2 linked regions of the Oryctolagus cuniculus genome follow. The protein of the gene in region 1 purifies or fractionates together with the protein of each later gene. This does not show direct contact. Links are inferred from orthologs where the notes say so. Each region holds a gene or a part of one and is shown on either strand. Other genes may lie near its edges. The genes, in order: SRSF6 and LARP7.

Region 1 (4,356 bases):
GAGTTAATCTCTGGAACTCGACCTGGACCTTGACCTCGAACGAGATCTAGAACGGGACCTTGAAGTTGCTCTTTTTGGTGGAGGGGACACAGAACGAGCCTTTGAGGGCGGAACAGGTAGGGGTGAATTGGAACGAGATTGGCTCCTTGATCTGGATTTTGACTTTATGTCACCTTTTCCATTTTCTTTGGGGGACCGAGAGCGAGACCGAGACCTGCTTCGGGATTTCTCATACTCATCCTTAGATCTGCTTCGAGAACGTGACCGAGAGCCCCGATCAGACTTGGGTTTGGATTTGCTCTTCGATCTAGATTTCCTGCCTTTTGATCGAGAACGCGATCGACCTTTGCTCCGCGACCTGGATCTGGACACAGAAAAGCCCAATTTCTTTTAATGCCTTGCAGCACACACACGCACCCCACGAACAAGCACAGCAGCAGCCAGAAAAAAAGGACAACACAATATTTACCGGGAGCGACTTTTAGAAATACTTCCAGATCTACTGCGGCTGCTCCTGCGACTCCTACTTCGTGACCTTCTTCTAGAACGTGACCTGTAACAGAACCCACAAGGAGCCCTTAACCTCAACAATGTTTGTGCCTTATCAACAGATCAGCCACACACACACACAGAACGCATTTGCTTACCACAAAATTAAATGCACTAACAAAGCATATGGCAAAGAACCCAAGATGCATAACCAGAAGTACCAGTTACTGCTCTCCATGTTCTTCAAACAAGTTACCTAGATCTGCTTCCAGAGTAAGATCGCCTATGGCTTGTTCGTGGCTTATCTTCAATAAGCCTAATATTTCTGCCATTTATTTCTGTACCATCCAGTTTATCCAAAGCACGCTTCATGTCCGAGTAGGAGCGAAATTCAATTACACCTTCATTTGTGCGTTCTTTGTGAGCATCCGCATAGGTTACTTCACCTGCTTGGCGCATGAAATCCTAAAACAGCAACAAGACTGCTCAGGTGCAGAAATCTGAGGGAAAGTATCTATACCATACTGAGTTCTTAAAAAAATAAAGATTGCAAAAGAGTTTACTTTCAGCATGAATCTTAACCCCTTTCATTGTAGCACTTACCTTTAAATCTTGCCAACTGCACCGACTAGAAAGATTTTCTACAATTAGCCTGTACTCTGTACGAACAGGTGGTCCATATTTGTCTCTGCCAGAGGTTCTCCGACTGCTGTATCCACCACCACCACCTTTATCACACGAAGGGAACAATCAGGTGCTTGCAATGGTAAGGATGGATAACGTTTTTGAAAGTTAGTACAAACATATCAACTTTCATATACTGGAGTAGGACTTTGCTATTACACTGCTAAACCTTTGATACATTTGTGATTTGCCATAAATTAAATTAAGGGCAAGTCAAATAGACTAAATCCGACTAAACCTCTCCTACAATCTGTTAGAGAGTGACTGCTCCTTTATTCAATTTACCTCGCTAAGTTTTATTTTACAGAACATTGTAAAATATAAAACTTAACTGATTACATGCATTTCTACATTTTACAAAAATGTTTACTAGTTACACTAAGTACTTACATCACAGTGTGAGGTTTTTGGTGGTGGTTTGGCCACAAAACACGCAAGGTAACAGTCACCTAGTTCAGATTAACCAGTTTTGTCTAACCCTTGGAATCCTCACCATCACCCTGCGTCTAATGGCAAAAGGCTGCTGTCGTCATGGCTTCCGGTAAGGTCAGCCAAAGGGTCATAGGGCAAGGGTCACACAATGTATGGAAAAGCCAAGGCCAATCAGGAAAGGCAGTCATCTTAGCCTCAGTGGACACAGCCTCAGCCCCATTGGTCACTTTCAAATTGAAACATCAAGGACTTGTTAAAAAGTTTGAATTCAACATGCAACAATTTCAACATCAAACATTTAAAATAACCACCCCCACCCGTCCTCCCAATAACATGCCCCGGCAGTTCAAATGCAGCATAAAGCTTCTTTAGATTTAGTTTGTGGTAAAGTACCACGTTAGAATCGCATTTTCTTTGCCCCCACCAATTTTCCTAACTCCTAACTACAGGCTCCGCCCCTTTCCCCGCCCCCGCCCCCACCCCAACTCCCCCACTTCTAGCTAAGGCACTGACAGGTGAGCCGGGGGATTCGGTCAGTACGGCCGCCCCTCGCTCCCTCCGTGGGCAGCACCCACGTCAGTGCCAACGGGGCTCCGCACACGCCACCCCCTCCCACCGCGGCCCGCACCAAGCCCCAAGGCAAACACCCGGACCCAATCCCCGCGCTCCGGTGTCCCCCGGCTTCCCCGGGCAGGCGGGGCAGCGGCGGGGCCCGGGCGCGCCGGGACCAAACGACCCCCGGCCCCCGCGCCTGCCCGGGCTGGGAAGCCCCGCCCTCCACCCCGGTGCCCGCGTCCGCCCCCGGGGTCCCAAGGACGCGGAGCGCGCGGGGATGCGACTCACTGCGGCTTCCGTAGCTGTAGCCGTCGCGATCGCGGCGCGGGCCCCGGGCGTGCTCCACGATCACGCGCTCGCCGCAGAGCTCCTTGCCGTTCAGCTCGTAAACGGCGTCGTCGGCGTCGCGGGAGTCCTCGAACTCCACGAAGCCGTACCTGGGGGCGGCCGAGGGCCGGGCCGGCGGGGGCGTCGTTAGCCGGGGGCGCGCACGTACGCGCCCCCGCGGCCGCCCGCGCGCGCCCGCGGCGCCGCGCCGCCGCCATCTTGGGAGGCCCTGCCACGCGGCGCCGCGGCCTCAGCGGCCTGCGTTGCCGGACGGCCCCCGCCGCCGCCGCCAGGCCCGGGGCGCTGGGCGCGGACGCGGGCGCCCAGACCCGACTCACCCGTTTTTTAGGTCTACTTCGAGGAGTCGGCCATAGCCACTGAAAAAGCGCTGTATGTCCTTCTCCCGGACGTTGTAGCTCAGGCGTCCTATGTAGACGCGCGGCATGTCCGTGGCGGGCGTGGTCCCGGAGGCTGGCTGTCGAACGGCTGGCCGCAAGGCGGTAGCCGCGGTGCGGGTGCGGGGACGGCGAAAGCCCGAACACGCGCCTCACACCGCAGCGGCGGCCGAGTCCAGCCACACAATGGTGCGCGCGCGCGCCAGGGCTACGCTATATGGGCGGCCGGAGGGGGCGTGGCCCGGCGCGTGACGTCAGCGCGCAACACGCTGCCTTCCCGCTGCGAGCGCGGGGCTGGAGGGTGCCGGTGGACTCCGCAGCCCGTGAGATTGCGGTAAAAAGTGTTAGCTTGTTCGCGACCTTGATTTTCTCAAGTCTCCCTACAAAGTTTTGTGAATACAGTGTCCCGTGGTTCAGCCGCGGACTTGTCTTCGGACTTACACCTTTAAAAAACTTCCATAGGGCGATCGCCTGGGGGCTGGTGCTTGGGCGGGACGCTAAAAAAAAATTCCCCGGTTTTCATTGGTTCTCAAGGTTGTCATAATAAGACCCTTGGTTTTTGATTGGGTCCTCCAAACGAGGCTGCGGGTTCCCGCCGCCTATTGGTTCGCGCTCACTTTGGTGGGGAACGCGGTTGAGCAGCCTGTGTAGCAGAACCCGCGGGGCGCGCGAGGGGGTCGCGGTGACTCTGCCAAGGTCGCGCTGTGGGCGCCCAGCCGTGGGGGCCGCTGCCCCTCGGGGGCTCCTCCGCCCCCTTCAGCCGTTCCCCTCCCCCTCATGAAGCGCCGGCCTCTTGAGTCGCCCGAAGGTTGGGCTGTGCGTGGGAATCCCACGCTCGCTGCGGGTGCCCGAGAAGGCTGAGCAAGCCCTCCCACGGCGGAGAGCGTGTCCTAAATGCTAGTCTCTACTCCCAGGGTTGGAAAGCGCGGGAATATGCATTTGTGAGTTTATCAATAGAGATGGCATTTAGTGCTGGAGAACGAGGCGAGAACTGAAATGACATTTTTTAAAGTACTTTTTTTTTAAAAAAATATTTTATTTATTTATTTGAAAGTCAGAGTTACACAGAGAGAAGAGGTAGAGACAGAGAGAGAGGTCTTCCATCCGCTGGTTCACTCCCCAATTGGCCACAACGGACCGAACTGCGCCGATCCGAAGCCAGAAGCCAGGAGCTTCTTCCCAGTCTTCCACATGTGGCTTGGTCTCCCTTGTCGATGCAGGGGCCCAAGGACTTTCGCTGCTTTTCCAGGCACATTAGCAGGAAGCTGGATCAGATGTGGAGCAATTGGGACTGGAACCGGTGCCTGTACTGATGTGGTGCAACAGGCAACAGCTTAACTGGCTAGGGCATAGTTGTGGCCCCGACGTTTATCTTTTTTTTTTAAAGATTTTATTTATTTATTTGAGAGGTAGAGTTACAGACAGTGAGAGAGAGAGAGACAGAGAGAAAGGTCTTTCTTCTGCTGGTTCACGC
Region 2 (3,812 bases), on another chromosome or scaffold:
TTTACAGGAAGACAGAGAACTTGCATCCACTGGCTGACTTGCCACATAACCTCAGCAGCTAGAGTTGGGCCAGTCCAAAGCCAGGAGCCAGGAGCTTCTTCCCAGTCTCCTGCATGGGTATAGGGGCTCCTGGCACAGAATCAAGGAGCCAGAGAAGAAGAGTAGCCAGGACTCGAACCAGCACCCATATGGGATGCTTTACTTGCTACAGCACCAACCCCGTTGTATTTTATTTATGGTCTACCGACTTACGAAAGAATTTGAAATGTTTAACATTTCACAAGTAATTTTAAATAATTTTTATTTAAGTATTCAACAGATACTTAGATAATGATAAAGTCCTCTCATAGCATTTAAGTTCTAGTGAGGTAGATAAACAGTCAAATTATTTTAAGAAACTTGTGCAGGAACTTGTGTATGGAGTTCTCATAATGGGTTTACATGTTTAAATTATTAATTTATCTGGAGAATTGAGTATAAAGGAAAAAGTAGAAGCAGGCTGACTAGTATAGAAGATGTTAACAGTAGTTTAGGCAAGACATGATGATTGTTTGGATGAGATAGTTGTGAAAGGGGTAACAGGTATTCATATTCAGGGTCTGGTTTAAAGGTAAAGCTAATGGAAATGTTGATGAATTGACTGTGGGGTTTGTGGTAAAGAGGAATTCAAAATGATTTCAGGATTTTTGCCCTCTTTAGCATTTTTGTAATTGGTGACTCTGAGATAGGGAAAACTGGGGCAGGGCTGAAGAAAGAGTGGGTTTGTTTTAACTCTGTAAGTTCTATTTTTGCCATGTTAATTTTGAGATATCCTTTAGATCAGGAGTGGGGAACATGGGCCATATAAGACAGACCCAGGAATCCTTTGGCCAACCTTGTCAAGGCAACCACAGGTGGGACTCTATAAATTTAATAAATCTACAGCAGGCTAATTTTTAAGTTGATGATTTTGTGTGGCCTGTGAATGATGTTATAATTATCCAAATGGCCCTTGGCAGAAAAAAAAAGGTCCCATCCTCCTCTCCCCACCTCGTGCTTTACATAAACAAATGGCAGTGTCAGATGGACCATTGGACATTGGAGTGGGGATCTAATGAGAAAATGTGAAATAGCCACATAAAGCCGTGGAACTTAAAGCCAAGATCCTTGGAAAGCATGGACTGTCTCGTTCTCTCTCTTGATTTCTCTTATGCTCTCCTTCTCCCTCTTTTTCCTTCTTTGCCCCAATAAGCCCTTTCCCTTACTCTGGTGTTTGGTGTGTTTTGTGGTGGCCTTACACTAAAATAGCCACTTAAAGCCAAGACCCTCAGAAAGCATGAATGTGTAAATAGGAAGGATGTTCAAGACCTAGTCCAATCACAGGCAGCATGTAAAGGTAGAACCCAGAAGTCTGCAAAGGAAATTAAGCAGAAGGAAAACTCTCTTAGAAGCGATACAAAGAAGATATTTTCAAGGAGGAAATTATCAACTGCAAATGCTATTGAAAGTTTTTGTAGACAGTGGGGCTCACTAATGCCTTTGCAATTTTACTGGAATAGTATGAAGAAAAGTCTGATAGGATGGGTAGAAGTAAGAATATGAAGAAATGAAGTTATTTGATACTAAATAACACCTGATTATTTTAATAATTATTACCTTTTATGCCATCAACTAAATACTTCATAATGTATATTTTTTAAGTGGTGCCTGATTATCAGCTGAAGCCTGTTGTAAAAAATACTCTTCTGCTAACTTTTGTTGGCCTGCATATTTGAAGATTTGAGGTGAGAGTCATTAACCTCTTTATTAACATCTTTATACTGAGTATTAGTCAACTTTTTGTGAGGCCCTAGGATAGTGGACCAGGAAGCAGAGACACAGAGCATGCTGTGTCCCTGTGCCTCTCTTCATGATTAAGTCATGGGCTCACCTCAGCAACCTAATAACCTTTGCAAAGATCCCACCATTGAATACTATAATTAGGTCATCCTCAATCAATAGTATAAGGCTTTGGAGTTTTAGAAGCCAAATTCTGCTTGAAAAACATTTTTTCTGTTATGTCAGAAGTACCGCTGTACAACTAATGATTCTAGCTGGCAGTCAGACTTGAGACAGAAATAGGCTTTAATACTGTGTTGATTTCAGTTTGATTAAAAATGACCCTGTATAAAGTAAACCATATTGTGGGAACCTGAAGTCAATCTCAGACTGGCCAGCATTAAACCTGATGCTTTTATGTAATTATTTTTGAAGGTATGCCAGGAATTAAGGAAGTTTAAACTGCTGAAATGTTAGATGATAAATTCTGTGGAGAAAAATAAAGGGAGTGTTTCAGGGAGACTGTAAATTCAGAAGATTTACCATGGAGTTTGCAGGATATGAGGACCAATTATAGCTGAAGCTAAAGGAACAAAAGGTGAGGTAAAGGGGTTGGAAACTAAAGGCTTGAAAAACAAAAGGCTAATTCTATAGCTTTGAGTTGAACTCACTGCTTATAGGAACCAACAGATGTTTTCAAAATCAAGCAAGCAGTTTATTTTCCTTTATCCACTGTCACTAGGCTAGGATGTTTTACCTAAAAGGTACTTTTATTCTGACAGGCAGTTAATATTTGGATTTTTCCCATTTTGACTATAATTTGTGATTTACTTTTCTAATTCACAGAAATGGAAACTGAAAATGGAAATCAAAAGGGTATAGAAGAGGAAAGCACTGACAAGAAAAAAGATGTAGAAAAAAAGAAAAGGTCTAGAGTTAAACAGGTGCTTGCAGACATCGCTAAGCAAGTAGACTTCTGGTTTGGGGATGCAAATCTCCACAAAGATAGATTCCTTCGTGAACAGATAGAAAAATCAAGAGATGGATGTAAGTATAGAAATAAATTATGTATAAATAAATGTATATAACTGGGTAAGAAATGAATTCCTATTTTATCTGCTGCCCAGATATAAAAGCAGCAAAATACCAATTCAAATATTTTACACTTCCCAATGAGAGGCATTTATTTCACCCAGTCTAATTCTCAGGTGTCATTTCTAAATTTCTACAAGATCTGTATATACAACTTTTCAAAAGTATTGAATCAAAAATTGTATTTACACAGATGGTGTAGACTCAGTGTTTTACTGTCATATTTATGCACTTTTTGTTAGATGTAGATATTTCACTTCTCCTGTCTTTTAACAAAATGAAAAAACTGACTACTGATGGGAAGTTAATAGCCAGAGCATTGAAAAGTTCAGCAATTGTGGAGGTAATTTTTAAATTTTACATTTACTGCAATTTTATTTCAGTTATTTCAGTTGTACTAATTTTAATATTTAAATTATTTTTAATATTTGGTTCTAAAGCTGGATTTAGAAGGCACCAGAATCAGGAGGAAAAAACCTCTGGGTGAAAGACCAAAAGATGAAGATGAGCGGACTGTGTATGTGGTAAGCCATTTCTTGAGAAGCTTAGAACCCAGGTCCCTAGTAGAATGACAGACACATTTTTAGTGTTTTAAGTTTAAAATTTATTGACATACAAGAATTGTGAAAGGCTGTTATTACATGTTAATACTGTTTCTAATTTATCACAGGAATTACTCCCCAAAAATGTTAATCACAGCTGGATTGAAAGAGTATTTGGGAAATGTGGCAATGTTGTTTATGTAAGTATACCACATTATAAATCTACTGGAGATCCAAAAGGATTTGCTTTTGTGGAATTTGAAACCAAAGAACAAGCAGCAAAAGCTATTGAGGTAAGTAAGTCCAGGTCCTAGAAAGAAAAAAAAAAAGTAAAAATTTCAGGAATAAGTAGTAGTAAAATTTACTTGGAATCTTTCAGTT

The links.
Region 2: the proteins of SRSF6 (region 1) and LARP7 purify together in Homo sapiens (affinity purification with mass spectrometry; 3 studies listed by BioGRID and IntAct, with this or other methods). This does not show direct contact. The link is inferred for Oryctolagus cuniculus from reciprocal best matches to the Homo sapiens genes SRSF6 and LARP7.

The regions. Positions count from the first base shown.
Region 1 is NC_091442.1:15,437,179-15,441,534, forward strand, and holds the start of SRSF6 (serine/arginine-rich splicing factor 6), read right to left. Parts: upstream 3,105-4,356; 5' UTR 2,933-3,104; coding exon 2,826-2,932; intron 2,598-2,825; coding exon 2,449-2,597; intron 1,218-2,448; coding exon 1,093-1,217; intron 955-1,092; coding exon 746-954; intron 554-745; coding exon 470-553; intron 365-469; coding exon 4-364; 3' UTR 1-3. UniProt on the Homo sapiens protein: Plays a role in constitutive splicing and modulates the selection of alternative splice sites. Plays a role in the alternative splicing of MAPT/Tau exon 10. Binds to alternative exons of TNC pre-mRNA and promotes the expression of alternatively spliced TNC.
Region 2 is NC_091439.1:52,308,947-52,312,758, reverse strand, and holds part of LARP7 (la-related protein 7), read left to right. Parts: intron 1-1,680; exon of another isoform or gene 1,681-1,763; intron 1,764-2,643; 5' UTR 2,644-2,645; coding exon 2,646-2,844; intron 2,845-3,131; coding exon 3,132-3,232; intron 3,233-3,329; coding exon 3,330-3,413; intron 3,414-3,559; coding exon 3,560-3,724; intron 3,725-3,810; coding exon 3,811-3,812. UniProt on the Homo sapiens protein: RNA-binding protein that specifically binds distinct small nuclear RNA (snRNAs) and regulates their processing and function.